2 linked regions of the Xenopus tropicalis genome follow. The protein of the gene in region 1 interacts with the protein of each later gene in a pairwise test. Links are inferred from orthologs where the notes say so. Each region holds a gene or a part of one and is shown in the gene's direction. Other genes may lie near its edges. The genes, in order: cdkn2d and nr4a2.

What was found.
Region 2: the proteins of cdkn2d (region 1) and nr4a2 interact in binary tests that used the Homo sapiens proteins (3 or more experiments, as listed by UniProt). The two-hybrid records come from large-scale screens. The link is inferred for Xenopus tropicalis from reciprocal best matches to the Homo sapiens genes CDKN2D and NR4A2.

What each region holds. Positions count from the first base shown.
Region 1 is NC_030679.2:138,202,346-138,219,120, reverse strand, and holds the start of cdkn2d (cyclin-dependent kinase 4 inhibitor D), read left to right. Parts: upstream 1-6,504; 5' UTR 6,505-6,732; intron 6,733-13,541; 5' UTR 13,542-13,550; coding exon 13,551-13,691; intron 13,692-15,218; coding exon 15,219-15,563; 3' UTR 15,564-16,775. UniProt on the Homo sapiens protein: Interacts strongly with CDK4 and CDK6 and inhibits them.
Region 2 is NC_030685.2:74,475,837-74,492,967, forward strand, and holds the start of nr4a2 (nuclear receptor subfamily 4 group A member 2), read left to right. Parts: upstream 1-8,350; 5' UTR 8,351-8,392; intron 8,393-9,570; 5' UTR 9,571-9,696; intron 9,697-9,997; 5' UTR 9,998-9,999; coding exon 10,000-10,842; intron 10,843-11,505; coding exon 11,506-11,635; intron 11,636-12,844; coding exon 12,845-13,008; intron 13,009-16,222; coding exon 16,223-16,425; intron 16,426-16,598; coding exon 16,599-16,777; intron 16,778-16,891; coding exon 16,892-17,131. UniProt on the Homo sapiens protein: Transcriptional regulator which is important for the differentiation and maintenance of meso-diencephalic dopaminergic (mdDA) neurons during development.

The sequences.
Region 1 (16,775 bases):
AAATACAAGTCACTGTTTCAACTCATGGTTGTCCCCATCTTGCCTACTCTACCCCAGCATAGCAATGATCACCCCTGTAATCACCAGTGGGATAGCTAAAGGTCCCCATACACGGGCCGATTCTGGCTGCCGGTATCAGTCGCTTAGACCAATTCGGCAGCTAATTGGCCCAGGTATGAGCACTACCGACGGGCCTGCCCAACCGACATGTGGCCTGGATTCAGCCAGATATCGATCGGACAGATTAAAAAATGTAGTCAGATCGGGGACCGCAACGGCTCATTGATTTGGTCCCCGAACTGACTGCACCTATTACCGTTGTTCTAATTCGATCGTTTTGCCCCGGGGCCAAACCACCGAATTAGCCTAAAGGCGGGACAGATTATGATGGGGCTGGGCAGTGACATTACCATTCTGTCCCTTTTTCTTAATTTTGAAAACTGTGCAGAAAGTTTTGAACTGAAAAGCTCCTTCGAAAAACCAGGCTATCGGGTTCAAAACCAGGCAAACCTAGCGGTCAGTAATTTGCAGCCGAATCCTTAGAGACATCACCCGAAATACTCCGAAGCAGCCGAGCAGGGAACGTGATAGGGTGTGGGGAGGAGCTAGGGGTCTCGGGCGGAGCCAAGAGGCAACCAGATCCAGGGCCACCATCAGAAATTATGGGGCTCCTCACAACAACATTTTCTGAGCCCCTCCCATCAGTGTGCCCCCAATACATTGGTGCCCAGAGCTCCCCCTTACATTGCTGGTCAGTGTGCCCCCCAAAGATAGGGCTCCCAATTGCCCCCATACACAGGGCCCCCTAACTCTATGCCCCCATTAGACAGGCCCTTTTATAAGGTTGCGCCCCGTGCGTACTGAGGTCACACGTATGCACGGGGCACGACCAATCGGATTGCATATGGATGACAGGGCCCGTAATAGTTTAAAGGGGGCCCAAGCTAGTCAAAAAGCTGTAGCACGGCTGGGCCCCCTTTAAAGGTAAAGATCGCCTGGGCCCAGGACCATTGTCCCCCCTGTACCCCCCCTGATGGCGGCCCTGTCCAGATCAGTTAGAACCAAACAAATATTAAAACCATAAACCACAAGGTTAAAACTTGGAACTTTCACTCCAAAGTAATGTAAACACAAAAATGAAAAAAAAAAAATTTTTATTCTTCAGCATCATAGCAATTAATTAAAGACGTCCCTATCCCATAAAAACACAATAAAGCCGCAGTTAGAGAGGGGCCCCTCCTATAGAATGTAAATCTGTACCACTGTGAAACAACCAATTATACCATACAGAACAGAAAGGCATGTTCCAGTCTCTCATTCAACCCACTACCTGGTTGCTAAGGTAAACAAGACCCTAGCAACCAGAAAACAAAATGGAAACCAATTGCAAATTGTCTCAGAATATAAATGTCTTAGTCATAGGAAGGGTAAGTGGTTAACAGGGAGATTAGTCACCCCAGAACAAATCTTCGTTGTCGCGGGCGACTAATCTCCCAGCAATGCCATCCCTCCGGCTAGAATGTAAATCCCTGGTGGGATGGCATACAGGTTGCTGTGATATCCCGTAGTCGCCAAAGTTGTCTTAAGAGGAAGCTTCGGGCGACTAATCTCCCCGTGTACCACTGCCCTAAAGAGATGGAGCTACTAGTAGCAGCTACTTGTCACAGCTACAAAAACAGACAATACTCATCATTTACTGATAATGGTTTCTATGTGTGTTTTAGCAGAGGCAATTCTCAGTATTCTTTATGGCAGGGTATTTTCTGGCGTTTAGTAGCCGTGACAAGTAGCTGCTACTAAGTAGCTCTGTGTGGCTTCATCCTACATGTTAAATTTAACATGCACAATAGAATTCCTATAAACTTTACGGTAAGGCCATGTATAGAGTAGAACATTTCTAGTCCAACGGCAGAGATCTTGTATAATGGGGGGGGGGTTGTAACAAACCAACAACAGATGTGAGACTGAGATGTCTGAGGTCGGGGCTCACCTGCTGTGACTCCATGAGAATTTAAAAAATTGGGTGTGACTGGAGAGAATGAGATGGCATCTAGTCGTCTGTCATGTTCCGTGTGCGCTGACTCTTTGACCCCGTGCCGCGAATCCAAACAACAACTGGCGTGACTCATGCTGAAAATACAGATAATGGCAGATAAATCCGATGAAGAGGGACAACAGGGCAGCCCTGATAGTACGAAGCCAAGGGGCACAGGGCAACTGTATTGGCAGAGTCACTGTCGCTTTAGATAAGTTGCCAAGCCATGGGGTTAAACAGATGTCAAACATATAGATTGTAAGCTCTACGGGGCAGGGACCTCCTTCCTCTTGTGTCTTTAACTCTTATTGCAACTGTACCTTGTATTTATCTGTATTTATTGTTATACTTTGTATTTATCTATTATTATCTTAACCCCCTGTTTGTATTAATGGATTCTACTGTACAGCGCTGCGTACATAAGTAGCACTTTATAAATAAAGACATACATGCATACATACATACATATATACATACATACATACAGCAACTCCCAGCAACCCTGCTATAAATGCTTTAAGCTGCCCATACACAAATGCAATGATCTAACACTCACATTCAGACTGAAATTGCAGGATAAAGCCCAGGGTCGAACTGGGCCGCCAGGAAAACACCCGGTGGGTCCCTACCCTTGCCGCCCCCCCCCCGGCCGAGCGTTCCTGCCCTGATGCGTTAAACTTATACGCGCTCAGGAGAGGACGTCGGGTGGGGGTGCCTGGGGGGGTAAGGGAGACTCTGTGGGGGCCCCTGAGGATGGGGGTTAGGGAGACTCTGTGGGGGCCCCTGAGGATGGGGGTTAGGGAGGCTCTGTGGGGGCCCCTGTGGATGGGAGTTAGGGAGGCTCTGTGGGGGCCCCTACGGATGGGAGTTAGGGAGGCTCTGTGGGGGCCCCTGAGGATGGGGGTTAGGGAGGCTCTGTGGGGGCCCCTGCGGATGGGGGTTAGGGAGGCTCTGTGGGGGCCCCTGCGGATGGGGGTTAGGGAGGCTCTGTGGGGGCCCCTGCGGATGGGGGTTAGGGAGGCTCTGTGGGGGCCCCTGCGGATGGGGGTTAGGGAGGCTCTGTGGGGGCCCCTACGGATGGGAGTTAGGGAGGCTCTGTGGGGGCCCCTGAGGATGGGGGTTAGGGAGGCTCTGTGGGGGCCCCTGCGGATGGGGGTTAGGGAGGCTCTGTGGGGGCCCCTGCGGATGGGGGTTAGGGAGGCTCTGTGGGGGCCCCTGCGGATGGGGGTTAGGGAGGCTCTGTGGGGGCCCCTGCGGATGGGGGTTAGGGAGGCTCTGTGGGGGCCCCTGAGGATGGGGGTTAGGGAGGCTCTGTGGGGGCCCCTGCGGATGGGGGTTAGGGAGGCTCTGTGGGGGCCCCTGAGGATGGGGGTTAGGGAGGCTCTGTGGGGGCCCCTGAGGATGGGAGTTAGGGAGGCTCTGTGGGGGCCCCTACGGATGGGAGTTAGGGAGGCTCTGTGGGGGCCCCTGAGGATGGGGGTTAGGGAGGCTCTGTGGGGGCCCCTACGGATGGGAGTTAGGGAGGCTCTGTGGGGGCCCCTACGGATAGGAGTTAGGGAGGCTCTGTGGGGGCCCCTGAGGATGGGGGTTAGGGAGGCTCTGTGGGGGCCCCTGTGGATGGGGGTTAGGGAGGCTCTGTGGGGGCCCCTGAGGATGGGGGTTAGGGAGGCTCTGTGGGGGCCCCTGTGGATGGGAGTTAGGGAGGCTCTGTGGGGGAAGTGGCCGGCAGGGACACCCCCAGTCTGACCCTGATAAAGAATAACAAATGGGAGGATGTTCGGAACATGAATTAGTTGGCAGACACCGACCGTACGAAAGTGACTCCCATTAATGGCCCCCAAGGATATAATCAGATACGGATGGGGGTTAGGGAGGCTCTGTGGGGGCCCCTGCGGATGGGGGTTAGGGAGGCTCTGTGGGGGCCCCTGCGGATGGGGGTTAGGGAGGCTCTGTGGGGGCCCCTGATGATGGGGGTTAGGGAGGCTCTGTGGGGGCCCCTGCGGATGGGGGTTAGGGAGGCTCTGTGGGGGCCCCTGAGGATGGGAGTTAGGGAGGCTCTGTGGGGGCCCCTACGGATGGGAGTTAGGGAGGCTCTGTGGGGGCCCCTACGGATGGGAGTTAGGGAGGCTCTGTGGGGGCCCCTGAGGATGGGAGTTAGGGAGGCTCTGTGGGGGCCCCTACGGATGGGAGTTAGGGAGGCTCTGTGGGGGCCCCTACGGATAGGAGTTAGGGAGGCTCTGTGGGGGCCCCTGAGGATGGGGGTTAGGGAGGCTCTGTGGGGGCCCCTGTGGATGGGGGTTAGGGAGGCTCTGTGGGGGCCCCTGTGGATGGGAGTTAGGGAGGCTCTGTGGGGGCCCCTGTGGATGGGGGTTAGGGAGGCTCTGTGGGGGCCCCTGTGGATGGGGGTTAGGGAGGCTCTGTGGGGGCCCCTGAGGATGGGAGTTAGGGAGGCTCTGTGGGGGCCCCTGTGGATGGGAGTTAGGGAGGCTCTGTGGGGGAAGTGGCCGGCAGGGACACCCCCAGTCTGACCCTGATAAAGAATAACAAATGGGAGGATGTTCGGAACATGAATTAGTTGGCAGACACCGACCGTACGAAAATGACTCCCATTAATGGCCCCCAAGGATATAATCAGATACACACGGAGATTTTATCCTTATCAGATGGGAATTCTATAACCTGCGGTATCAGCTAAACGAGCGATCGGCCATTCAGAGCCCACACACCGGCCCAAGTTTCATGCAACTTTATCAGTAGGTGTATGGGCAGCTTTAGATTGAGGGCAATGGGGCCAAACGTACTGTTTAACAGCAGCTCCCAGTATCCCTGATGCCCTTGCGCTATACATGGGAGAGGAGACTAGGTTACTAACATAAAGCATCTCTGCCTCCATCTTGCCCTGTTGGCTGTGTCTGCGCTGAGGGAGCTGCCATGTAGTATTCCCTGTATACACACACACCACACACACACACACACACACACACACACACACACACTCACACTCACACTCACACACACACTCACACACACACTCACACACACACTCACACACACACTCACACACACACTCACACACACACTCACACACACACTCACACACACTGACACTCACACACACTGACACTCACACACACTGACACTCACACACACTGACACTCACACACACTGACACTCACACACACTGACACTCACACACACTGACACTCACACACACTGACACTCACACACACTGACACTCACACACACTGACACTCACACACACTGACACTCACACACACTGACACTCACACACACTGACACTCACACACACTGACACTCACACACACTGACACTCACACACACTGACACTCACACACACTGACACTCACACACACTGACACTCACACACACTGACACTCACACACACTGACACTCACACACACTGACACTCACACACACTGACACTCACACACACTGACACTCACACTGACACTCACACACACTGACACTCACACACACTGACACTCACAACACACTGACACTCACACACACTGACACTCACACACCACTGACACTCACACACACTGACACTCACACACACTGACACTCACACACACTGACACTCACACACACTGACACACTCACACACACTGACACACTCACACACACTGACACTCACACACACTGACACACTCACACTGACACACTCACACACACTGACACACTCACACACACTGACACTCACACACACTGACACACTCACACTGACACACTCACACACACTGACACACTCACACACACTGACACTCACACACACTGACACACTCACACTGACACACTCACACTGACACACTCACACACACTGACACACTCACACACACTGACACTCACACACACTGACACTCACACACACTGACACTCACACACACTGACACTCACACACACTGACACTCACACACACTGACACTCACACACACTGACACACTCACACTGACACACTCACACTGACACACTCACACTGACACACTCACACACTGACACACTCACACACTGACACACTCACACACTGACACACTCACACTCACACACTGACACACTCACACTGACACACTCACACTGACACACTCACACTGACACACTCACACTGACACACTCACACTGACACTCACCCCATGGGACGGTACAGGCTGCCTATAGGAAGCAGAGGCTGCATTTAAACACAAACAGCACGTCCCGCCGGAGGTGAAGCTAAGGTTACCGTACTGCTGACTCCAGCCTGACCCCCTCACCTCACACACAGAACCGCTAGTAGCCCCGCCCCTCCTTTTTAAAATTTCTCTCAAGACCCACCCATTCCTCTCTTTTTTTTTCTATTGGTTGCATACTCTGCGTCAGTCTGCGGGTTACCGCCTAGCAACGGCGAGCCCCTCTGGCAGCTGTCATTTCTATTGGCTGGAATGGCCAAGGAGGCGGGGCCTCGGCGTCCGGCAAAACCAATGGGCACAAAGAGACGACGGCACAACAGTTGCCTTTTTTAAAAAAAATAACACGCGTACCACGTGGGGCGGTGACGTCAGAGGCCGAAAACAAGCGACAGGCTGCGATCCGCCGCGACTCGGACTGCGCCCGTTGAAGGTTCTGACTGCGCGTCTCTCACCTGCCGGGCAGCGGGTCACGTGTTCAGCACCTGTGTCAGCGCGGGAAGGCGGGTATATAAGGTGGGTAAGGTGGGGGCTCTGTGTGTGGCAGGGGGAGCCGGCTGGGGAGCAGCAACATCATCTGTCACCGGCTGCAACAGTAACGGAAGCCGCTCTGTGTGTGTCTGGGGAACGTTCCCCTGACTGGCACCGAACTGGCGCGGCCCTCCTTCTCCGTGTTGTGACTGCCATTGACTTCTATCACTTTGTATTCTCCCTCCCCCCGACCCCTCCCTGTATCCCCCCGACCCTCCCTGTATCCCCCCGACCCCTCCCTGTATCCCCCTGTCCCCTCCCTGTATCCCCCTGTCCCCGACCCCTCCCTGTATCCCCCTGTCCCCTCCCTGTATCCCCCTGTCCCCGACCCCTCCCTGTATCCCCCTGTCCCCTCCCTGTATCCCCCCGACCCCTCCCTGTATCCCCCGACCCCTCCCTGTATCCCCCCGACCCCTCCCTGTATCCCCCTGTCCCCGACCCCTCCTGTATCCCCCCGTCCCCTCCCTGTATCCCCCCGTCCCCTCCCTGTATCCCCCCGTCCCCTCCCTGTATCCCCCCGTCCCCTCCCTGTATCCCCCTGTCCCCTCCCTGTATCCCCCTGTCACCAACCCCTCCCTGTATCCCCCTGTCCCCTCCCTGTATCCCCTGTCACCAACCCCTCCCTGTATCCCCTGTCACCAACCCCTCCCTGTATCCCCCTGTCCCCTCCCTGTATCCCCCTGTCCCCTCCCTGTATCCCCCTGTCACCAACCCCTCCCTGTATCCCCCCGTCCCCTCCCTGTATCCCCCCGTCCCCTCCCTGTATCCCCCCGTCCCCTCCCTGTATCCCCCTGTCCCCTCCCTGTATCCCCCTGTCACCAACCCCTCCCTGTATCCCCCTGTCCCCTCCCTGTATCCCCCTGTCCCCTCCCTGTATCCCCCTGTCCCCTCCCTGGATCCCCCTGTCACCAACCCCTCCCTGTATCCCCCCGACCCCTCCCTGTATCCCCTGTCCCCTCCCTGTATCCCCCTGTCCCCGACCCCTCCCTGTAATCCCCCCGACCCCTCCCTGTATCCCCTGTCCCCTCCCTGTATCCCCCTGTCACCAACCCCTCCCTGTATCCCCTGTCCCCTCCCTGTATCCCCCTGTCACCAACCCCTCCCTGTAATCCCCTGTCCCCTCCCTGTATCCCCCGACCCCTCCCTGTATCCCCCCGACCCCTCCCTGTATCCCCCGTCCCCCCTGTCCCCTGTCCCCTCCCTGTATCCCCCCTGTCCCCTCCCTGTATCCCCCCTGTCCCCTCCCTGTATCCCCCTGTCACCCAACCCCCTCCCTGTATCCCCCTGTCCCCTCCCTGTATCCCCCTGTCCCCTCCCTGTATCCCCCTGTCACCAACCCCTCCCTGTATCCCCCTGTCCCCTCCCTGTATCCCCCTGTCACCAACCCCTCCCTGTATCCCCCTGTCCCCTCCCTGTATCCCCCTGTCCCCGACCCCTCCCTGTATCCCCCTGTCCCCGACCCCTCCCTGTATCCCCCTGTCCCCTCCCTGTATCCCCCTGTCCCCTCCCTGTATCCCCCTGTCACCGACCCCTCCCTGTATCCCCCTGTCACCGACCCCTCCCTGTATCCCCCTGTCACCGACCCCTCCCTGTATCCCCTGTCCCCTCCCTGTATCCCCCTGTCCCCGACCCCTCCCTGTATCCCCCTGTCCCTCCTTGTATCCCCCTGTCACCGACCCCTCCCTGTATCCCCCTGTCACCGACCCCTCCCTGTATCCCCCTGTCACTGACCCCTCCCTGTATCCCCTGTCACTCACATCTTATTCTGTGTCACTGTGCCCCCCCGTCTGTGACATCTTATTCTGTGTCCCTTTCACTAAATCCCCATCACAGAAATCCTACTGTATCCTATCACTGATATCTCATTGTATTTCTTCTCTCTGACATCCCCCTGTACCTGCCCCGTTACTGACATCCCCCGCCTCTACCTGCCCCGTTACTGACATCCCCCTGTACCTGCCCCGTTACTGACATCCCCCTGTACCTGCCCCGTTACTGACATCCCCCGCCTCTACCTGCCCCGTTACTGACATCCCCCTCTACCTGCCCCGTTACTGACATCCCCCTCTACCTGCCCCGTTACTGACATCCCCCTCTACCTGCCCCGTTACTGACATCCCCCTCTACCTGCCCCGTTACTGACATCCCCCTCTACCTGCCCCGTTACTGACATCCCCCTCTACCTGCCCCGTTACTGACATCCCCCTCTACCTGCCCCGTTACTGACACCCCCCTGTATTCTCCTGCCACCCACACCCCACTGCCTCTCCCTGTCACTTACATGTCCCACTGTATGTACCTGTCACAGGATATTGAGAGTAGCCAGTGGTATGAAAAAAGCTGTGTGGCATCTCAGTTACCAAAACTTGGCCCTAGTTCCGCTTTAGTGATTATTCCTGGCGACACTCTCTGTAACCCTGCTGATTTGGCACAGTGTCCCGGGGGAACCTTCACTCTCTGCTTTCCCTCTGTGATTATATTATTCCCATCTCACAGCCCGTCACTGTTTCCTTCCTGCGTGCCTGTATCCTATCCAGGCCTTGGTCTGTGGGTTCAAGCAAATGCCAGAGGGGCTGCTGTAAGGTGCCATAGACACTCACTATTTATTGGGCCTATGGGGGGCTGTTTGGGCCTCTGTGTACTGAAAATCAGGCCCGGACTGGCAATCTGTGGGTTCAGGCAAATGCCAGAGGGGCTGCTGTAAGGTGCCATAGACAGTCACTATTTATTGGGCCTATGGGGGGGCTGTTTGGGCCTCTGGGTACTGAAAATCAGGCCCGGACTGGCAATCTGTGGGTTCTGGCAAATGCCTGAGGGGCTGCTGTAAGGTGCCATAGACACTCACTATTTATTGGGCCTATGGGGGGGCTGTTTGGGCCTCTGTGTACTGAAAATCAGGCCCGGACTGGAAATCTGTGGGTTCAGGCAAATGCCAGAGGGGCTGCTGTAAGATGCCATAGACACTCACTATTTATTGGGCTGCTGGGGGGGCTGTTTGGGCCTCTGTGTACTGAAAATCAGGCCCGGACTGGCAATCTGTGGGTTCAGGCAAATGCCAGAGGGGCTGCTGTAAGGTGCCATAGACACACACTATTTATTGGGCCTATGGGGGGGCTGTTTGGGCCTCTGTGTACTGAAAATCAGGCCCGGACTGGCAATCTGTGGGTTCAGGCAAATGCCAGAGGGGCTGCTGTAAGACTACTGGAACCTAAATGGCTCCCAGACTCCTACCTTTAACCCTTTCAGCCGTCCGTTCCTCTTCTTGAATTCTCTTGCTCTGACTTAAGAAAGAACCCACCTTTCCACACATTAATGTTGTATCATGGCTCCTCATTAGCCAAAGGATCTCACTACCTCTCTCCACTTGTACCTCCTTATGCTGCCATGCTGATATTCTATGCTTCTTCCTCCTGTTTCTCATACCACCTAATCATTTTAACTGTATCTGTATATATATATATATATATATATATATATATATACAGTCCAAAAGAGTTTCAGCACACCAAACATATAAATGCAAATTACCTAGGTGCTACCTCCGTGTATCCAATTATCCACAAATCCAGAAGTATAAGGTGCACACCAGGGTTTTAAATATAAAACATGACTTTTATTGTATCATACTGATAAAACAGATCAACGTTTCGGTCTCCACCTAAGACCTTTATCAAGATATATATATATATTTGCTCTGTTTGTTGCCCCTTCTGTGCTCTCAATGTATCGTAGGCCTATACATGTAGAGCTATAGCGGTACTTGCAAGGTTAGTTAGTAAGGTCCCATCGGAGCAGAGCTTTTTACTTTGGGCTGACATTAGAGCTCTAAGCCTGAAAGTAGGCCAGGGTGGAGCATTTGATGCTATCTTAGATTGATTCTGAGCATCTTGGCTTGGCACTCAGTGCACTGCCTGATGTAAGATAATAGAGTGTCCCTTGGTGTTGCTATTCTGTATGTCAAGTAGGTATTATGACTATATTGAGCACATTTCTTCTGTTACTTTTTGCAACTGAATGTTGGTAGATTCATTGTGTTTCATTGTTTCAGGTAACTGTCACTTAATTATCTTTTTGTGGTAACAGAGCCTCCTCGTTTCCTTAGATCTGTGCCTAACCATACACGTTTAGGGGCACAAACGACAGGCATGCCGACCGACATCTGGCCTGAAATCGGGCAGATATATCGATTGGGTTAAAAAATTCAGTCGGATCAGGGACCGCATTGGCTCGTTGATGTGGTCCCCGAACCGATTGCACCTATTACCGGCATTCTAATTCGAATTAGCCTGAATTCACCCGATATCACCCACCCGTAGATGGGGATATCGCGAGAAGATCAGCTCCCTTGGCGACCTCACCAAGCGAGTGGATCTTAACGTGTATGGGCACCTTAAAACCCAGTGAAAACATTCTCTGTCTGGTCTCATGAGCTGGTTATGTATTTATGTACTTTATTGCTTATTATTCAGCCACAGAGACGCACTTATAGGCCAACTTCAGGGCCTGTTTGATCCCACAGGTAAATAGGCTGATGACTGGCCAGGTTGGATACAGAGACTAGTGGCCAAATTGGCCAGTACTGGTAACTAGTGACTCATCCAAACAATAAGCTCACATACTATCTTCAGCCTCTGTTTGTTATTGGTTTGGTGCTACTTAACAGGTGACAGCTGTGCTAAAGAGACTTGAATCTTTTCAAGGTGTGTGTGTTTGTGCATTACTTGGCGCTGACCCATGTTGGGCTCTCTACACCCCGTCTGCTTGTTTGTCACTGCTTCAAGTGCAGCAGTTGTTTCCTTGTTTTTCTTTACAATATCGTGTCAAGATATAGGGGGTGTCAGTGGGAGCTGTGACAATTAGGGCTCAAAAAATACCCTTAGGGTGAAGACACACAGCTCCTAGTAGCAGCTACTTTTTCACAGCTACTAAATGCCAGAAAATCCCCTGCCATAGACAATACAGAGAATTGCCTCTGCTGAAACACACGATAATTATCAGTAAATAATCAGTATTGTCTATTTTAGTAGCTGCTACTAGTATCTCTGTGTAGGTTATTGATTATAAATATGCGTGTTGCTAGGTTATGAAGGTACAACAACAAGGTGTAGTATTTCTCTTCTATCTCCGTCGTCGTGCTGTGTGTTTACTGGCAACATGAAGTGCAGCCAAATCAAAGAGAGAGGTTAAGATTATGCTCCTATTTATCATTTGTGGTCTTCTTTCTTAAAGGGGTGGTAAACATTTATTTAGTATGTTATATAATGGCCTATTCTAAGCAACTTTTGAATTGGTCTTCATTATTTATTATTTTATAGTTTTTAAACTATTTGCCTTCATCTTCTAACGCGTTGCAGCTTTCAGATGGGGGTCACCGACCCCGGCAGCCAAAAAATCTATTGCTCTGTGAGGCTACAGTTTTATTGTTATTGTTAATAACTTTCTTTTCCGTTTAAATCCTCGCCTATTTATATACCAGTCTCTCACTTAAACCACTTAAACTCCAAACTGAAGAGCTGCTGAACAAAAAGTGTAATAACTAAAAAAAAAATGCAAATAATGAAAAAATGAAGACCAATTGCAAATTGTCTCAGAATATGACACTTTTGATTATACAAAAAGTTAACTCAAAGGTGAACAGCCCCTTTAAATAGATAGTAAAGCACAAGGAATTGGTATGTTGTGTTCATAGAACATGGCTTCTTTGCATGTGTGGATTTACTTGGGCAGATGGAAGAAAGGAAGCAGAAGCTTGTGTGTGAAGACACACTGAGCTACTTAGTAGCAGCTACTTGTCAAGGCTACTAAACGCCAGAAAATCCCCTGCCATAGACAACACTGAGAATTGCCTCTGGTAAAACACACGTAGAGACAGTTATGAATAAATGATCAGCTTTGTCTATTTTAGTAGCTGTGACAAGTAGCTGCTACTAGTAGCTCCATCTACTCTAGCAGTGGCGACTAATCTCATCAAATGTAAATTGCCGGTAGGAAAACATATGTCACTTCGACTTCCTGAAGTCACCCGAAGTTGCCACACGTTTTCCTACGAGTAATCTACATTCTCATCGGTAGGAAAGCATTTGAGGCAATCAGTCGCCTCTGCTAGAGGAGATTAATCAAATTAGCCAAAAATCACCCAACTTGTGTGGGCACATGGGGTAAAGATCTGGCTGTTTGACAAGGGGCTTGCAACGTGTATGGCCACCTAAGCTGTCTCACCTGTCTGAATAGCCATTCAGACAGGTGAGACAGCTTAGGTGGCCATACACGTTGCAAGCCCCTTGTCAAACAGCCAGATCTTTACTCCATGTGCCCACACAAGTTGGGTGATTTTTGGCCATGAGGCCATGGCTAGCTGTCTATTATCTGCCTGTAATTGCCTGTCTCTCACATGCCTGATTGTAACCTGTCAGTTATCTGTCAGTAACACACAGAATCTTAGCTTTCTTGTAAGTGTCAGGGCATTGTCAAACCCATTTCAGCAGCTTATCTGCCCATGTATGGACACCACCGATGGGCCTCCCCGACCGACATCTGGGCTAAAATCAGCCAGATCTCGATAGGGCAGGTTTGATTTTACCGTTGGATTGGGGACCACATCAGCTCGTTGATACGGTCTCTGAGCTGGCGGCACCGCCCTAGGGCCAAACGATCGAATTAGCCTGATATCAGATCAAATTAGCCCGATATCACCCACCTGTAGGTTGCTATCCTGTTAGTACTCCTTTATAGTTTGCTGATAATTTCCCATTCTTTTGATTCGTTTATTTCATTCTTCCTTTTTGATCTTGCAGCTCTCCCTCATGTTGCTACAAGAGACCAGCGCCGGAGACCGCCTGACACGAGCGGCTGCCAGGGGAGACCTATTAGAAGTGAAGAGGCTTCTCCATGAAGAGAGGATCCACCCTGACTGCCTAAACCGCTTTGGCAAAACTGCTCTGCAGGTGAGAGAGAGAAGTATGGCCACACAAGGTCATTTCCCAACATACTGGGAAATCATCTTTTATATAGGGAATTTGTCTTATGAGGGATTTAACTGATTTAGAACAGGTTAAGGGCCCCTAACATGGATTATGAAGAGCTGAAGCTCTCAATTTAACTTCATTACTGAATTTGCTCCTTGCAGGCTGAGCTCTGGTTGCATCTTTTTATATTCCTAGTGACTCACAGAATGAAGTAGGAAAAGCAATTAAGAAGTAACTTAATATAACAGCTCTGAATAGGTGCACTGAATACTTGCAGAGTACAAGCAGCCCAGTCCCAGAGGCACAAGGATCTGGCACATCTTGCTTGAAAAACAAAATATGCTGAGGATGCTGGTTCTGTCTTTATTAATAAAGGCTTAAGGTGGCCATACATGGGCGATTCTACCTGCCGGTATCGTCCTTTAGACTGATTCGGCAGCATATCAGCCCGTGTATGGGCACTAACGACGGGCATGCCCGATATGCCTGAAATCGGGCATATCTCAATCGGGTAGGTTTGATTTTTTTGTCTCGTTGATGTGGTCCCCGAACCAACGGGCGCCTATACCTGCTGCTCTAATTCAGTTGTTTGGCCCCAGTGCCAAATGCTTGAATTAGCCCAATACTGGCCATCTGGATATCGGGAGAAGATTAGCTCGCTTGCCGACCAGATCTTACCAAGTAATGTGGTCATACATGGGCTGATAGAAATTGTCAGCTTATTGACCCATGGATGGGGCCTTCCCAACAGCCTGCCTGACCAGAATTGAAGGACGAGGACCTAGTTGTTACAGAGATGCAATCCTCTAACAGTGGATCTCTCTAGGCCCAACTGTAAGTCTGAGGGCTAGTGAATCCGATAAAGATTCACTAGTCTGGCCACCTGATATCCAGCTGGAATAAAAGCATTGGCAGTTTACAGGCAGTTCCATTTCATTGCAGATATTGTTCCTCATACAAAAGAAACTGTGACTTAGTATAAAGTGTTCTTTTTCACCAGAGTAACGTGAGTTTCAGCTTGAGTGGCCCTGTAAATCCATATGTGTTTGCAAGCCTGTGCCAAATTTGCCTTGTCCTCGGTGAAGTTGAAAGGTTTCTGCAGGGTGGGGCATTCCTTATTATTTGCTTGTGCTCTTCTGTTGGGTGACCACTCCCTGTACTAAGGGTGTGTGCGCGACTGAACAACAAATTATGCCCCACGCCCAGCAGCCAGGGGTTAATTAAGGCACGGGTACAGTGTCACTGTGTTGCAGTAAATATCTGTGTATTCGTAAAGTGAGCTCGGAATGATTTATTTTCTCTTACTTTGTAGGCAATTGTTTTTATTTATTGTTTTACTTTCTTCCCTTTTTATTCTAACATTCCTTTTACAATCTCTTCTCCCCATAACCATATGACCTTTCTTTTACATAATTTAATACCCCCCTCTGTTGCCTTTGCTCCTCCTTCTTGCTCTCCTTTCCTCTGTAAGCTTAACCCTTTTTCACACTCATTCTTTCTCTCTAGGTCATGATGTTTGGCAGCACCCCTGTTGCATCAGAGCTTTTGAAACAAGGTGCCTCTCCTAATATTCAAGATGCATACGGCACCACCCCTGCTCATGATGCAGCCCGTTGCGGATTCCTGGACACCTTACAAGTTTTGGTCCAGCATGGAGCGGAGATCAACACACCTGATGCCTCTGGCTCCCTACCTATACACCTAGCCCTTAAAGCAGGTCACGTCCCTGTTATTACCTACCTTGCTCTTATCTCCGACCTTCAGCATCGGGATCGGGAAGGGCACACGCCATCACAGTTGGCCGCCATCTTGGATCCTCGCCTGGCTTCCATATTTGAGCTCAGCACATAGAGGAAATACCCAAAGTTGTCCAAACATGCCATGGGAACAATTTGATATGGTGCTCAGTTTCTTTTCCTAGTGCAATGCATAGTAGTGGGTAGCTACTCAGTATTATTGTATAGTTTAGCATGTTTATGACTGACTGCGGAGAGCTGCAATAGTACCAATGCCCTATATGTTGTCAGGAGTTTATAAATGCTGGGAACAACTGCAGCACCCTTCAGGGAAGGGGAACATTTACTAGTGGTTAAATGCTGTTGGTTTTAGGGTAATAACAATGCATTAATGAGCACTTCTTTGTGTACATATTTACATACATGTGGCCGGTTACGTGCAGTTTTTTTATTTTAATACTCAGGTCATGTTTAATTATTATTATTATTATTTTTAATAATTCTTTTCTCTCTTTGAAAGTCCCTGTCTTTCTGCAATTACTTTATACTTTTATATGTTTATGTTTAGTGAAAGTTTCTAAATTACAAATGCATTTATTTTAGATTTCAGTACAGTCCAAACTGCCCCAAAATATGATTCACAAATCAAAACCAAAATGGTAACCAATTACTCCTTATTGCTCCATATTTTCCAATACAAAAACAATTGGGCCCATTTTCAGTGGTACAGGCATTACTGTACTGTGCGGCATTACAGGGGCACCCAAGTGCTGCTCCGTGCTCTTTCTGTATACAGCACAGCCGCTCAGGTGCAGCTCTTTGTGTTCTATTCTAGGAGTACAAAGAGGTGTGCCTCGGTGTAACCAGGAAATTTCAGTGGAACAAGATGCAAAATAAAATAGTGCTTTGTCCCTGTTTTTGTACTTTGTAATGTACCTTGCCCTTAATGGCAGAAGTGCAAAAAAATGCCCCTTTGTTTAAGCACGGTGGTCCAGTGTCTTTATAACCACCTCCTTTATGTCTCTGCTTCACATAAGCCCTACATGTAACTCAACCTTTCCCAAATAAGATTTTCCTATGACTCTCCTTAAACCACTCCTATTGCACAATATAACCCCTCCATATAACTCCTCCTATTGCTCCATATAACCCCCCATAACTCCTCCTATTGCTCCATATAACCCCTCCCTATAACTCCTCCTATTGGTCCATATAACCCCTCCCTATAAGTCCCCCTATTGCTCCATATAACCCCTCCCTATAACTCCTCCTATTGCTCCATATAACCTCTCCCTATAACTCCTCCTATTGCTCCATATAACCCCTC
Region 2 (17,131 bases), on another chromosome or scaffold:
CAAACCACACAATGCGGAAATACGCTAGAAAACGCCTTAGCACAGATTTTTCAAGTGTAGGCCGAAATACGCCAGTATTTGCAAAGCAAGCTATTCCTATGTATACGCAAAGGCAGCTGCCAGACCTAGCGGAAATACGCAGCGTTTTTTTGCTATTTCGCACTATTAGCACCATGGAAACGGGATTTTCTTACGTCACCAGTACTAGGCTGAAAAATGCCATAGTCTCGGGCTGTGTGGCTTGTACGGCGTTTTTAGGCTGAGAAAAAACACAGCAGAAAAACGCCACGTGTGGCATCAGCCTAATTCCCAGTAGTTCAACCTGACAATCAACAGCAGATGCAGGGATGCCCAAACTATCAGACCCGAAAGCAGACTTGCAATCTGTGGGTTCTGGCAAATGCCAGAGGGGCTGCTGTAAGGTGCCATAGACACTCACTATTTATTGGGCCTGTGGGGGGCTGTTTGGGCCTCTGTGTACTTGAAATGCCAGGGCCTATTCTCAATTCCAGTCCAAGCTTCTTATTTCCCATCATTGCACGTCAGCAAGTTGAGTCGAAGATTAATACCTGGTGTTGCCCAAGGCCTAACCCGTCGCACCCCACTTCATCCACCCAATTGGCGCACATGCAATACAGTCTATGTGCTGATTGGGTAGGAAAGGGTTACCCCCTGCCGCTTAGATCTGTCGTCACATTTTGCAGCAACTATGCAGTGGTGGACATGTAGTGTATGCTCTGAAGCTGCCGTACTAGCCATGGGCCCTGAATATTTAATTTATTTGCACATTACTGAATCACTATATAATACATAGGGTTATGTAATAAAAGGCACTAAGTTTGCCCAGGAGCAGTAACCTATAGCAACCAATCAGCAGGTAGCATTTACCGGTCACCTATTTAAAAGCAAACATCTTATTGGTTGCTATGAGTTACTGCTTCTGGGCAAACTTAGTGCCTTTTATTACATATGGGGGTACAGCCCTAACTCTCTGCTGCCTTTTTAATTAAAATGTTCCACCTTGATTGCCAAAGCTAATAAAATGAATGAATTCAATCGTTCCTCTCACATGGAACACTTGTGAATTATAATACACCCCCTGCAATAAAATGTAAGGACATCAGAAGTCCCTTTGAAGTAGCATGACCTGGATAAAGTTGCCTTGTGCTATTAATACTGTCACTGAGCTCTGTGGCGACTTCTAAAAGTATGATTTACAGCAAGGGTGTAGTATTCCATACGTGTATACTGTACGCGTGTTTGTAATATCTCGTGACTCAAGAAAAGGACAAGTACAGTAAAAAAAATTAAACCTGAGTGTGCAAATTTATTAGGGACCCGCAGTGGCCAAACCCAGTAACCGTTTACCTATAGTGAAGGGGGGGCCCTGAGATGGAAAGGCACGAGTGGCGAAAGGGGTGGGGCTGATAACGGGCTGCGTTTTGGCATAGTTGCATGTCTGTGCACGCAAGGGACTTTTTTTTTTTTTTAATTCATAGGGGCCCCAATTTACTTCTTGATAGGACCCATGTGATCAGGTAATAATGGCAGCTGTGTGTGGGGGGAGGGCCTTGATAATTTAGTAGTATGGGTCCCCATTATTACTGATGGTGGCCCTATTGCACACTATGGCAAATACATTTTCTCACACTCCCAGGTGTGCCCTGTGGCAAACTGGGCTGGGCATATGCACAGTATAGTAATTTTTGGAAGCAGTACAGTAAAAAGTCAGCAATTCTGATAATGGGAGGGCTACTAACAAAATAGCACCCACAGCATAAGGTTTCTGCACCCTCCTCAAAAGCTGCTACTGTCTCTATTGTAACATGACTGCTGATACCAGCTCTAAGGGTGAAGACACACAGAGCAACTAGTAGCAGCTACTTGTTGTGGCTACTAAAACAGACAATGCTGATCATTTACTGATAATTGTCTGTACATGTGTTTTAGCAGAAGCAATTCTCAGTATTGTCTATGGCAGGGTATTTTCTGGCGTTTAGTAGCTGTGAAACAGTAGCTGCTACTAGTAGCTCTGTGTGTCTTCCCCGTAACAAGTACCCTAGGCATGGCAATAAATGGGCGTCATGCCAAAATGCCTAAACTACAGTTCCCAGAATCCCTCTCTGAATCCAATTTCCAAAGATTATGATGGGAGTTGCAGTTCGTTAGCAGCTGGCTGGGTGCAGGGTGGATATTTCTGTCGAACCTTATTATTGGTTGTATTTATATTTATATAGTGGGAACATGCTTAGCAGTGCTGCACTCCTATGCTAATCCCTCTCCCGTGCAGCACCCAGGAGAGTCGTACTCATCTGCTACGCCTGCGACCATTTGCACATTGAGATATTGCTGGGATAATTACACTGCCGCGGTGCCAGCATCAGAAGTGCTTAATTACACACACTCTTTGCATCACAATGGGTATTTTCAGAGTCCAAGGTTTTATCCTCTGGAAAGGAAGCAGTGGGTACATAGGCTATGGGGGTGCTAACATGCCCTTAATATAAAGGGGGTAAGCTGTGCATATTTACACCCAACAATAACAAATGCATATCATATAAACCCCGAAACTCCACTGCAGATGAGGCTAAGCATTAATGACCCCCCTCAGCATCTGCACTATATGTATTAACTCCGCAGCCCTGTACCGGCCAGAGGGAAACACGGAGAGAGTGCTGCAGCCTCCAAGTACTCCCTGATGATCCATTCTGTGCCCTTTGATCCTAGGTATTAATAACCCTAACTTTTTCTCATTTAGATGCCGGCGCTTTCTGTCGGAAACAGTGTTTCATACATCATAATTAGCAGCTAAATAGAGAAACGCACTCCTCTTTCCAAAGGCACGATACATGGCAGATAGAACTACGGATATATCTTCGGGGGGAGATATTGATTTTGGCTTAAGTTGTATATATGGCTTTGTATGGTGTGGCTGAGGCATAAATGGGGCTGCAAGAAAATAACCAGCGCATTAGTCTAAATGTTCACCTGTTGGCTGCCAGTCCCACGAGGATCTGGGCATCCATTTATTAACCTGGTCTTGCTCTGCAATTTCATATGTACTTTCTTAGCACATTCAACCCTTATGAAACAAAGTTCTTTCTGCCCTCCTGAACCACTGCGGGCAACTGAAAGAAGCGGAAAAGATGGGTTCAACAAGGGAAAGAGCAGCCATCTACACAGTGGGCAAATGCATCTTGCTTGCCATTGCTGTGGCCAGTAGTAGCTCTACATAGAAAGTAGCTGTAGCCATAGACACCAAGAGCCACTCAGTTGCCGGAAGAGGGACCGCATCTGTAGATCAATGTTGTCATCGTCTGATTGGAGTCATTAATCAGCCTTGTAGATATTAATGACCATGGTATTGAGGCAGACTCACCCAGCTCTATTGTGGCATACTAGAATAGTAAGAAATGATGGTATTAATAAGGTGAGTTATTAATAAGGCTGCCCAAAATGGTGGACTGAAACACTCATCATCCAAGACAGCCTTCCAGTGCAGCTCTGGCTAGGGTGGTGGGAATTTGGATCCCATTGTATCTATGGCTTCATAACACCCACAATGCAATGCTTTAGATAAATAGCAGTAATCCATGAGTGGGTCTGGGTGTCAATAAATGGTAAATAACAGGTGAGATATCATCATGAAACATATATGGATCAAATGTCACAATAAATTTAATTTTATTATAAGAATTCACCCCTGCCTTCTCCATTGCCCTTCTGGCACTTGACGGATATGAGATTAGCCATCTGACTTTCACTGGGGCAAGTGACAAAAGGTCTGCCATTGTCTCCAGTGTCTATGGAAAACATATGGTGCTCCCTCTCCAAAACACGGGAATCCAGGACAATATGCTCTTATAGATCTTGGCAAAAGCCAAACCTCAACCCGGTCACACAAGATAATTGGCCAGGTCCGTCACTGTCATTTGTACTGGCTGGCCACTGCCCACTGGGTGTGGCAAGGGTTGCCCCATCCCAGGAAAGACGTAACAATCTTTCATTCTGTTATTTTTCTCCTTCCTTACTGCTTCCTTAGTGACCCCCTTGGCTCAACCAATCTGATTGCATGGGAATTGCAACCAATTTATTTCACAAATTTATATTAACCTGTGTGCCTGGTGTTACCAGCTTGGGGGATGGTGAATGAGCAGAGGTTTCATTATGGGATCATTAGAAAACACCTAAGCAAACAGCCTCAAAACAATCTGGAAACACTCACTTCCTCTCCTCATGCTTGGCCTGCCTCTGTACACGTGCTACTCAATGTTCCGAAGGCAGAATACTGCTATATTAACTGTTTGCTGGCAGGCCCAGCGGCTGCCAGTGTCACAGTAGGAAAAATTCTTAAAAATACAGGGATGTTTAAATGCCAGCTGATGTTCAACTACAACTCTCTGTATCAAAAGGCTGTTGGTTGGGATTTTGAGAGCTACAGATTACCATGAGCTGCCTATTGGTTATCCTTAGATAGTCACTTAAATTGTCTTTCAAATGGTTTATACATATTTATTTACTCACACTATATATAGGGCAAGTAAATAAATATGAAATAATAAATGTGTATGTATGTATAACTTTATTGACAAAGCGCTACATGAATATGCAGCGCTGTACAATCTTACAATATATACAGCTACACACAGGGAGGACAAGTGTCATAATTAATAGAATAAATAAATATAAATACAGATACAAGTCAATACCTGTGGTATGAGACACAGTAGGAAGGAGGTCCCTGCCCCATTGAGCTTATATATGTATATATATGTATAGATATATATTTATATAATATAAAAAATAGTCCATAGGGTGCACACCATTTGCAGCAACAAAACCTGGGTGCTAGTACCAAAAAAATGCACTGGAACAAGGACAGCACTCCTAGGATTTAAAGAATTGTAAGCAAAATGTAAATGCAAAAATATTCACTAATGTGTAATATAGTAGTAATACAGTGATATAATAGAATATTTGAGATATATATATATATATATATATAAAGGGCAAGTAAATAAATATGAAATAATAAATATACATATATATATAGATATATCTATATATGGATATACATATATACACTAGGATTCACTAATGTGTAATATAGTAGTAATACAGTGATATAATAGTATATTTTTTTGGTATTTATTTTAAATCTGAACCATCATTTTGGGGGTTATTTTTTATACCCATTCAGCAGAGCATGTCAAGAGGGCACTTCCTTTTTAATGGCACAATTAAAGGCTATCACTTCACTAGCCTCCCAGAGAGCTGTCGGGAGCAAGGTCTGGTGCTGGTTTGTTTTATTCTGAATAACACAGCGTCTGCTCTATTAACACTACACAAAAAAGCCCGTGATCTGCCAATCCCAGCAGCAGGCAGGAATTAGACAGCTGGATCCACCGAGGGGGTAGGAGCTGCCACTTCTATTCCTACAGAGGAGGATTCCTGCCTGCTGCCTGCAGCTCAGAGGTCCTGGATGGGCTTAGCTCTTGGTAGGGGGAAAATCCAGGATATTATAAAGCCTTTTGTAGCAGAGAGATAAAACAGTGCAAGCTTGGAAGCCACACTAGAGATCATTCTGTCACCCACATGGCTAATTATAGGATACACGCTGCATATGTGTTTGGAAACGTTATGTAATTTTGCTGCTGGGTGACTCAAGCAAATGCAGTACATTAGAAGAAGGTTAGTGGCGTTAAATACACACATATTTCATAAATAAAATAATCCCTTTATTAGTGAAAGTTCTAAGCCAAACAGCCAACACCTCCCCGTGCCAATAACAACAGAAAGTTGCATATAGCTGGATTAAAGTCACCCTTGTCTATCATGGAGCCCCGGTACAGAGCCAGCTGCTGCAGCACCTCTTCAAGTCCAATCTGCAAAACCCTTCACCTTCTTCAGGAAATCTGCACCGCAGAAAACAGGAGTAGAATGTGTATTTCTGTTGTTTCCACTGAGGTCTATGCACTGCCACAAACTGACTCCCCCCCCCAGCCAGTCCACCTCCCCATGATTGGCACTTCCACTCCAGCCTACATAAACAAAGGAGGTGTGAGGGCTCCTGGATGCTTTAGCTGGGCCAGCCAGATTAATTTGTCACCCAGGGAAACAACGGAATGCCCCGCTGGGGGGGGTTAGGACACTGGAGTATGGTAAGGATTTTACACAGTGCCTGTGGAAAAAGATGTAATAATTAGGTATAGGGTGTATATGTGTATTTACTGTATAAAAACTGTCTGATTTCTAATTTTACTGTCTAACAAGACAGTAGTGGGGGGGGGGGGGGGGCAGGGGATAATAATTTATTATCATAAACAGCACACAGACCTACATAATTGGTGAACTAATTAAAGCTAGAAAAAGGGGGGCTTTGACAGTACAGGAAGGGTAAGGGGCCACTGTCTGGGGGTATTATATAAATCATGGATATCCAGAATACAACCCTTTCACTGTTTTTGATCTGCAACTCCAACCCTTAGGGTGAAGACACACAGAGCTACTAGTAGCAGCTACTTTTTCACAGCTACTAAATGCCAGAGAATACCCTGCCATAGGCAATATTGAGAATTGCTTCTGCTAAACACACGTAGGGACAATTATCAGCAAATGATCAGCACTGTCTATTTTAGTAGCCAAGTAGCTGCTGCTAGTAGCTCCATGTGTCTTCACCCCATGCAACTCTGCGTAGGATGTGAGAGATGCAGTTGAACACCTGCCCCAGGGCTGCAGGTTGGAGATCTATCAATATCAAAACTGTCTGATTTGTAATTTTAGTGGGGGGAAAGGCAGAGGGTTAATAATTTATTATCATAAACAACACACAAACCTACATAATTGGAGAACTAATTTAGAATAAAGGAGGCTTTGACAATACAGGACGGATAAGGGGCCACTGTCTGGGGGTATTATATAAATCATGGATGGGCAGAATACAACCCTTTCACTGTTTTTGATCTGCAACTCCAACCCTTAGGGTGAAGACACTACTAGTAGCAGCTACATTTTTACTGCTACTAAATGCTTGTAGATTGTAAGCTCTTTTGGGCAGGGCCCTCTTCACCTCCTGTATCGGTTACTGATTGCTTTATATGTTACTCTGTATGTCCAATGTATGGAACCCACTTATTGTACAGCACTGCGGAATATGTTGGCGCTTTATAAATAAATGTTAAAGGAACAGTAACACCAAAAAATGAAAGTGTATAAAAGTAACTAAAATATAATGTGCTGCTGCCCTGCACTGGTAAAAGTTGTGTGTTTACTTCAGAAAGTCTACTATAATTTATATAAATAAGCTGCTGTGTAGCCATGGGGGCAGCCATTCAAAGGAGAAAAGGCACAGGCACATAGCAGATAACAGATAAAACACTATTGTATTCTACAGAACTTCTGTTATCTGCTATGTAACCTGTGCCTTTTCTCCTTTTTCCCAGCTTGAATGGCTGCCCCCATGGCTACACAGCAGCTTATTATATAAATTATAGTAGTGTTACTGTAGCAAACACACCAGTTTTACCAGTGCAGGGCAACAGTGCATTATATTTATTACTTTAAAGCTTTTATTTTTTGGTGTTACTGTTCCTTTAATAATAATAATAATAATAATGCCAGAGAATACCCTGCCATAGGCAATATTGAGAACTGCTTCTGCACACAGAGACAGTTACCAGCAAACGATCAGCACTATTTTAGTAGCCACGACAAGTAGCTCCATGTGTCTTCACCCCATGCAATTGCATGTGGGATGTGAGAGATGCAGTTGAACAGCTGCCCCAGGGCTGCAGGTTGGGGATCTGTATCAATACAGTATTACTACCATTGAAATAAAGGTAAAGGGTAAACCCCTCCGCTCCCGACCATACAGGCGGCTCTGGGAGTGACAGTGACAACATGTGGCGGCTGAGTAGTGAGAGCGGCGGATTGTGTACATACAGTACATTCCCACACTCGCACTGTATACAGTATAAACACGCCGAGCAGCCGCTGCCCAGCTCCCCCTTACCCCCCCCCCCCAGTCTCTCACACCCGCATCTTCCACACGGGGGGTTACCCGGTTACCGGCTGTAGGAAGCCGCTATAGAAAGCGACGAGCGGACTCGCTGCTCCCACCTTAAAGGCTGCTGGCTGCGTGACGTCACGACGGAAATTTACCAAAGCCAACAGCGCGGAGCCCGGTCGGCGCTGATTGGCCGGGAGGCTGCTGACGTCGGGTGACGCTTGAGGCTTGTAGTGTATGATAGCGCTGGAATACTGAGCCCACATAAACAAAGGCACATTGGAGGGACCGTATCACTGCGCTCCGGCACTTACGGACATCAGCGCTCCGCTCAGGGGATGTGTACCCGCCTGCATGCATAGAGGCGCCGCTCCCACAGCACTGCAAGTAAGTGCCCGCCTGCCTGCAGCCTGCCCTCGGCTTCTCTTACTCCCTCTGCGCTTCCCTACCTGCCGCACACTTTATCCAATGCCATCTACTATGGGCACAGCTACTACTTATACCTACTTATTACATATATATATATATACACTCACATACATACATACACATACATACATACATACAACTTACCTTTAGTTATATACAACATTCATACATCCATTCATTATACCTTTGCGCCCAATGTAATGACTGCTTGCGTTGGAGAGGGCCTGGGGCTCTAACACTTTTTGGAAGGAGGAAAAAAAAGTTTGGCTGTGCAGCTTACTGCATTATTCTATTGTATCTGAGATAGGTGCTATAGGCTGTGGCTTGGAAGTACCAATCTCTATTGAGCAGGTGTATTGGGAAAAGCTTCTATATTTGGTATTTCCAAATGGTATTTCCGCTCAGCTGGTCAGGGGATATGGTCTGAATGAAGGGTATTTAATAAGCATATAGTTAGAATTAGATATTACTTTATACTATATATAGTGGCCAGACTGTCCCTTCATTCTGTACAATGGATATCAATACGAACCTATTATTTATATTTTATAATACACCTGTGTGCTTCTTTGCCTAATGCATTGCATGTGTTATTAATAACATTGTCCTATTCATGTATACTGTGCATACCCCCCCCCCAGCTGAGTTATTTTAGGTTACTGAACTAAAAAAATTGTTGCCTTATCTACTAGCCAGCCCATATCTAAGTCATGGCAATAAATCTGATTAATCAGATTTATATGAGGCCTTCTCAAGACACACCTGACGTTTATTCTTAGCCTGTCAAACTTTTAAGGCTTGTCGTGATATGCTGCCATTGATCTGCTGACCAGAGCTAAAAAAAAAAAAAAAAATTCTGCACACACCTTAAAGCAAGTGCTTGTGATTCAACAGAATGCCTTTCTGTGATTTACAGAATGAAAAGGCACAGAAGAAAAGTTAGTAATAGCTATTGTCCTGTACAGAATTCCCTTCACACCCCCGCTGCAGATTCCACGTTGTGGTTTTTACCCAGCTGAAATACTCATTTTTAAAAAGCCCCAGCGATGGCAGAATTAAACGTCTGTTTGTGGCTTGGCGATGTCACAATGGGCATTGTCGCAGCTATAAACCGACCAACTCGATTTCTCTTTCAGATAAACGTGCTGACAAGCTGGGTTCTTCTAAATCGAACGATTCTAATCTTGGAAAGTTTGTTCCGACAAGAAATACAACACTGTCCTCCTTTACCTACATCGAAAAACCCCACAGCCCGGCAGAAGGTTTGTCCCTTTATTTGTGGAGAGCAATTATATTGGCTAAAAGGGTAGTGGGTGGGGGGGGGGGGGCGATTAAATTGGGCAAGGGTAGTGTATGGGGTTATCGTTAATGGTAATCGTCTGTAAGGAATAATTACATAGGGAAGCGCTGAGATTTTGAGCAACAATTTCTAGGGCGATTGAAGTCCTGTTGGGTTACAGACCGGGGGTGTTCTCAGTGGGGTAGACGGCAAGAGGGGTACAATGGTGATGGGAAGTATCCAACTGAACAGTATGGGTATCTATTCAATTGTTTCATTTACAGCCATGCCCTGTGTTCAGGCTCAGTATGGGTCATCGCCTCAAGGAGCCAGCCCAGCTTCCCAGAGCTACACTTACCACTCTTCAGGAGAATACAGCTCCGATTTCTTAACTCCAGAGTTTGTCAAGTTTAGCATGGACCTCACCAACACTGAAATCACTGCCACCACTTCTCTCCCCAGCTTTAGTACCTTTATGGACAACTACAACACAAGTTACGACGTCAAGCCTCCTTGCTTGTACCAAATGCCCCTCTCCGGCCAGCAGTCTTCTGTAAAAGTGGAAGATATACAGATGCACGGCTACCAACAGCACGGCCACCTACCGCCCCAAAGCGAGGAGATGATGTCCCATTCAGGCTCAGTCTACTACAAACCTTCATCGCCCCCCACTTCCAGTACCCCCGGTTTCCCTGTCCAACACAGCCCAATGTGGGATAACCATGGCTCTCTGCACAGTTTCAATCAAAACTATGTGGCCACCAGAGGAGGTCATGTCCCCAGGCTTTCCTTGTTCTCTTTTAAACAGTCTCCACCTGGAACGCCTGTGTCTAGTTGCCAGATGCGGTTTGATGGCCACCATGTGTCTATGAACCCCGAAACCTCAGGAGCCCACCATGTAATAGACGGACAGACATTTGCAGTCCCCAATCCCATCAGAAAACAGGCATCTATGGGCTTCCCTGGGCTACAGCTTGGTCATGCGTCGCAACTAATAGACAGCCAGGTACCTTCACCGCCTTCTAGAGGGTCTCCATCAAACGAGGGTCTCTGTGCTGTTTGTGGGGACAACGCTGCTTGCCAACACTATGGAGTTCGTACATGTGAAGGATGTAAAGGGTTCTTCAAGGTAAGTACACAATTGCTTGAAGCCATCACGTTGGTGATGAGTTGGTGGGACTGTCCACCATGAACCCAACTGAGTTGGCTGCTGAGCTCCATGTAGGGTTGTTGATTTAATCATAGTGTTTGTTAAATTTTAAAATTCATACCCAGTGCCCCCTTCCTAGGCTTCAACTGGGCAAACTAGTCGCTCGATGGGACCTTTATTTTTCCATGCAATGTATTTGCATGTACTTTACCCAGCCTTCCCCTTCAGATAAATTGGTTAGGACAGAGAACCGTGTCTGAGCTAACCAAGTGGAACAGAATTCCCTATGGTGAAATTAAGTGATCTCTTTATTTCACCATCCTGATTGAATAATCTTATCATTGGAAATAGAGAATTCTCCAAGGGCTGTAAATAATATGAATGCCCACGGATTTGTATTTACTGAGCGCTTTCTCCTTTCTCCTCTTGGCATATAAAAAGCCAGCCAAGAGCTGCCAGGGACAGCTGAAATGTTAATGCTATCAATTTGCCTCTGTTAAATGCCATGCACAAAAAAAAAAAAAGAGAGACAGAAAAAAAAGATATAAATTCCAGACTTTTTATTTTATTCTCAGCTCTGTGACACTGGGTGTAAAAAGAATGTAACAAACGAGTCTAATTCCCTCTTCCTTTCCCTTACAGCGCACAGTGCAGAAAAATGCCAAATATGTTTGTTTAGCGAATAAGAACTGTCCGGTGGACAAAAGGCGTAGGAATAGATGTCAGTACTGCCGGTTCCAGAAGTGTCTGGTTGTCGGTATGGTCAAAGAAGGTAAATGTCGCGCTAATGCGTTATTCCCATGCACTGCGTAATGCCTATGTATTATAGTATTTATATCTGTATGTAATATGTTTGTGCATAGGTTTCTGTAAATAGCATAAGCTAATGACTTCTAATTGATATGGAGGTAGGGATGGAGCTACAAATTCCATCAGCCTTTGGGAGATGTAGATTAAAAAGAGCGGGAGGGCCGCGGTTTGGACATTGGAGATTCGCGGATTAGTAATAATCGATGGAAATGATTGTGATTGGTAGATAATATATCGATACCCTGAGAGGCTGTTAACTAGATAACATATAGGTGATAATATGTTTATGCATCATTGGGTTATTATATGTACATAGGCCGCCGGAGACAGTGATGATAGATAGATGATAGATAGATGATAGATAGATGATAGTAAAAAAAAAAAAGTAAAAGAGAGAAAAAGAGAGAGGTAACAGACGTACAGACTTCTGTCTGGATTTAAAAGACAGATCGATAGATAGATAGATGATAGATAGATAGATAGATAGATAGATAGATGATAGATAGATAGATAGATAGATAGATAGATAGATAGATAGGTAGGTAGATAGATAGATAGATAGATAGATAGATAGATGTTTAAGTAAAAGATAGATGCAGGGAGAGAGAAAAAGAGAGAGTTAACAGGCGCACAGACGTCTGTCTGGATTTAAAAGACAGATCGATAGATGATAGATAGATGATAGATAGATAGATAGATAAATTTAAAGAGACAGAAAAGCTAGCAGATATATTGCAATTGTACACACGTTATATGTTTATATGCCATACTGATTGCATGAATATGAGATTGTGTGGAACGTTATGCCACTCACTTTTATGCCACTGCGACTCTAACAAATCGTGCCGACATTAACACACACATACACCAAGAATCGTTACTAGTCCAAACTGTTTTCTGTAGGATTTTCGAGGCATACACTTTATACTTGAGTTTGGGCGCTGCTTAGACACAGTGGCCTTTTCCACCTTTTTGCGGAGCAGAGGCTGGCAGCCCCCACCGATCTCACACACACACTCAGATTTCCGTGCCAGCGACTGGCAGAGTCCCGGGTCCATGGCACGCAAGCTGGAGTCAAGGCTGCCTTTGTAATGAGGGAGAGTAACAATGAGAGGAAAGAATGTGAGTGGGAACTGAATCCTGAACACCCTGTTTCTTGTCTTCATTGCAGTGGTCCGCACAGACAGTTTAAAAGGTCGGAGGGGTCGCTTGCCATCTAAGCCCAAGAGTCCCCAGGAACCATCGCCCCCCAGTCCCCCAGTGAGTCTGATCAGTGCACTAGTGAGAGCCCACGTCGACTCCAATCCGGCAGTGAGCAGTCTGGACTATTCTAGGGTAAGTGGGGGCCTTGGCAAAAGGGAATTCTGTGGCTCTTGGTCAGTATTGGGGTACATGGTGGTGGAGCTCTTTGCCTGGGACCTGCGGATCTTGGGCTGCTCAGTCCATAGTGTGGAAGTGCATTCACTGTCTTGGGGGTTGCACTGCTGGGAAGCGCTATGTTCTATCTGGAATGGATGGTATCTGCAGGCCTTGAACTTCTCCGTTAGCAATAGTTGCACTTTTCCCTGCTTGGGAGCTGGTCTATGTGTAATGTTAGGACTTGGGAGCATGTTCTCTGCATGTCTGGGTCTTTTGTTGGAACTTGGGAGCACATTCCCTGCGTGGGTATAAGTTTGGGTGTAATGCTGGGACTGGGGAGCACACTGCCCTGCCTGGGAGTAAGTCTGGGTGTAATGCTGGGATTAGGGAGCCCACTGCCCTGCCTGGGAGTAAGTCTGGGTGTAATGCTGGGATTAGGGAGCCCACTGCCCTGCCTGGGAGTAAATCTGGGTGTAATGCTGGGACTGGGGAGCACACTGCCCTGCCTGGGAGTAAGTCTGGGTGTAATGCTGGGACTGGGGAGCACACTGCCCTGCCTGGGAGTAAATCTGGGTGTAATGCTGGGATTAGGGAGCACACTGCCCTGCCTGGGAGTAAGTCAGGGTGTAATGCTGGGATTAGGGAGCACACTGCCCTGCCTGGGAGTAAGTCTGGGGTTAATGCTGGGATTAGGGAGCAAATTCCCTGCCTGGGAGTAAGTCTGGGTGTTATGCTGGGACTGGGGAGCACACTGCCCTGCCTGGGAGTAAGTCTGGGTGTAGTGTTGGCACTGGGGAGCACACTTCCCTGCCTGGGAGTAAGTCTGGGTGTAATGCTGGGGTTAGGGAGCACACTGCCCTGCCTGGGAGTAAGTCTGGGTGTAATGCTGGGATTAGGGAGCAAATTCCCTGCCTGGGAGTAAATCTGGGTGTAATGCTGGGATTAGGGAGCACACTGCCCTGCCTGGGAGTAAGTCTGTGTGTAATGCTGGGATTAGGGAGCACACAGCCCTGCCTGGGAGTAAATCTGGGTGTAATGCTGGGATTAGGGAGCAAATTCCCTGCCTGGGAGTAAATCTGGGTGTAATGCTGGGATTAGGGAGCACACTGCCCTGCCTGGGAGTAAGTCTGGGTGTAATGCTGGGATTAGGGAGCACACTGCCCTGCCTGGGAGTAAGTCTGGGTGTAATGCTGGGACTTGGGAGCAAATTCCCTGCCTGGCAGCAAGTCTGGGTGTAGTGTTGGGATTAGGGAGCACATTGCTCTTTCTGGGAGTAAGTCTGGGTGTTATGCTGGGACTGGGGAGCACACTGCCCTGCCTGGGAGTAAGTCTGGGTGTAGTGTTGGGACTGGGGAGCACACTGTCCTGCCTGGGAGTAAGTCTGGGTGTAGTGTTGGCACTGGGGAGCACACTTCCCTGCCTGGGAGTAAGTCTGGGTGTAGTGTTGGGACTGGGGAGCAGATTCCCTGCCTGGGAGTAAGTCTGGGTGTAGTGTTGGGACTGGGGAGCACACTGTCCTGCCTGGGAGTAAGTCTGGGTGTAGTGTTGGGACTGGGGAGCAGATTCCCTGCCTGGGAGTAAGTCTGGGTGTAGTGTTGGGACTGGGGAGCACACTGCCCTGCCTGGGAGTAAGTCTAGGTGTAGTGTTGGGACTGGGGAGCACACAGCCCTGCCTGGGAGTAAGTCTGGGTGTAGTGTTGGGACTGGGGAGGACACTGCCCTGCCTGGGAGTAAGTCTGGGTGTAGTGTTGGGACTGGGGAGCAGATTCCCTGCCTGGGAGTAAGTCTGGGTGTAGTGTTGGGACTGGGGAGCAGATTCCCTGCCTGGGAGTAAGTCTGGGTGTAGTGTTGGGACTGGGGAGGACACTGCCCTGCCTGGGAGCAGTAGGTATAAGCACAGTGCGGGGGTGTGCGCTGCTTTGCGATGGAGTAAGTAAGGTGGGGGCGCTTCCCTGCCTCGAAGCTGCCAGATGCCACCCCCATAATGCTAAACTGATACAAACCAATGCATCCTGTACATCCCCCAAGGCATTATATCTTAGGGGGCAAACTGTGCTGAGCAAAGGTATAGCCACATAGCCAGTTAGCCACTCTCTTTTATGTAATCTTTATCGCCATTGCGCAAGGTTTTGCGCAGTATTAGGTATGCATGTATTATGCTTTATTTCCATGTGGACTTTGCTACGGTGTATTATTTGTGTAGTTTGCAGAATCTGCTACCCTTCTGCCTTTGCGCCTTACAAAATCAAGTGCTGCACTAATGGACGAGCTTTTTCCCTGTGTATGATTCCAATGTTAGCGCACAGCATGCACTGTACTTCGTACATGTCTTTGAGCCTTTATAGTATCAGTGACCCAATGGCGTTGTACTAATATTTCCTGTGCATCTGTCTCCTCACTGTTGCACTGTGCGCCTTATATCTCCCCACTGCCCAACGTACAACTAGTGCATTCTACATCACGACTTTACTGTTTACTTTCCGGCATTTACACGGGTCAGTGGACTAATTAATGTAAATGACATGTGATGAACCCTCTCTTACTCCTAGTATCAGTAATGCTCTTGCACAGGGCGTTGCTCTACAGTACATACATAGTACATACAGTGCAGCGCTAGGGGATATGCTGAGTATATTCCTTTCACTGTTCCTTTTGCAATTGGGTAAATCGAATCCACGATTTTGCAGCACCCTTCCCACCATCTATTCGTGCAACAATATTGTAAATTCCGATTAACTCTTAAAATCCCATTGACCCTTTCTGTGTACCCTTTCATCATACACTGGGAATCCTGCGCTAACAGTTATTTTCCTTGGAAATTCACACCTATTCCTACTTTCTGCCCAAGTGAATTTACACTAATAACTGGGTTTGCATTAACCCTTTCCGAACATGCCCGGTAGATCTGCCCAGGCCTGTGTGTGTGTCAGTCACCCCCTTCTGTTTAATTACAGGCAAAATCGTTGTAAATTCTACTTGCGTGTGTGGCATTAGAGATTTATAAAGCAAGCGCAGACCTTATGGCTCCATCCATGGCTGAGTTAATTGCAATGGGCACCTTATTTTCCTGCTGGTCACAGGCATTTTTAATTGTTCCCAAACAAATCTCTCTTGGTGTAACAAGGTTAGCAATTTCACGGGTTATATATTTTGGAAAACCTCATTAAGAATCTTCCCTCTCCATCTTTAGTTTCAGGCTAACCCAGAGTATCAGATGAATGGAGACGATACACAACACATCCAACAGTTTTATGATCTGCTGACCGGTTCCATGGAGATCATTAGAGGTTGGGCAGAGAAGATCCCAGGATTCTCTGAGCTGCACAAACAGGACCAAGACCTGCTCTTTGAGTCTGCTTTCCTGGAACTTTTTGTCTTGCGACTGGCATACAGGTAATTACCAGATTAGGGGCTTAATTGTTATATCTGCTCCCCTTCTTTCAAGGTCAATTGATTTGCATTTTATTGTCTCTGTAATAATTAGGAGGCATTTAAATGGACATTTATTCTTCCCACACTAATTAGTTTTTTTTTCTCCCCCCCCCCCCTCTCTTTATTAATTGCAGGTCTAACCCAGCAGAGGGTAAACTCATCTTCTGCAATGGGGTTGTACTCAACAGACTGCAGTGTGTTCGTGGTTTTGGAGAATGGATAGATTCCATCGTGGACTTTTCTTCCAACTTGCACAGCATGAACATAGATATATCAGCGTTCTCCTGTATTGCAGCCCTGGCCGTGATTACAGGTCAGTATCTGCGATCCAAACGCGTATTTTTAAGTTGCGCATTGCGCGATACGTGACGCGTTAACTATGTAATTAATAAAGAGTCATTCATGTTTGATATATAATTTTTTACAGAGAGACACGGATTGAAAGAACCAAAAAGAGTAGAAGAACTCCAGAATAAAATTGTAAACTGCCTCAAAGACCATGTGACTTTTAATAATGGGGGGTTAAATCGGCCCAATTACCTTTCCAAACTCTTAGGGAAACTGCCTGAACTTCGCACTTTGTGCACCCAAGGACTGCAACGCATATTCTACCTGAAGCTGGAAGACTTGGTACCTCCACCTGCCATCATTGACAAATTGTTTCTGG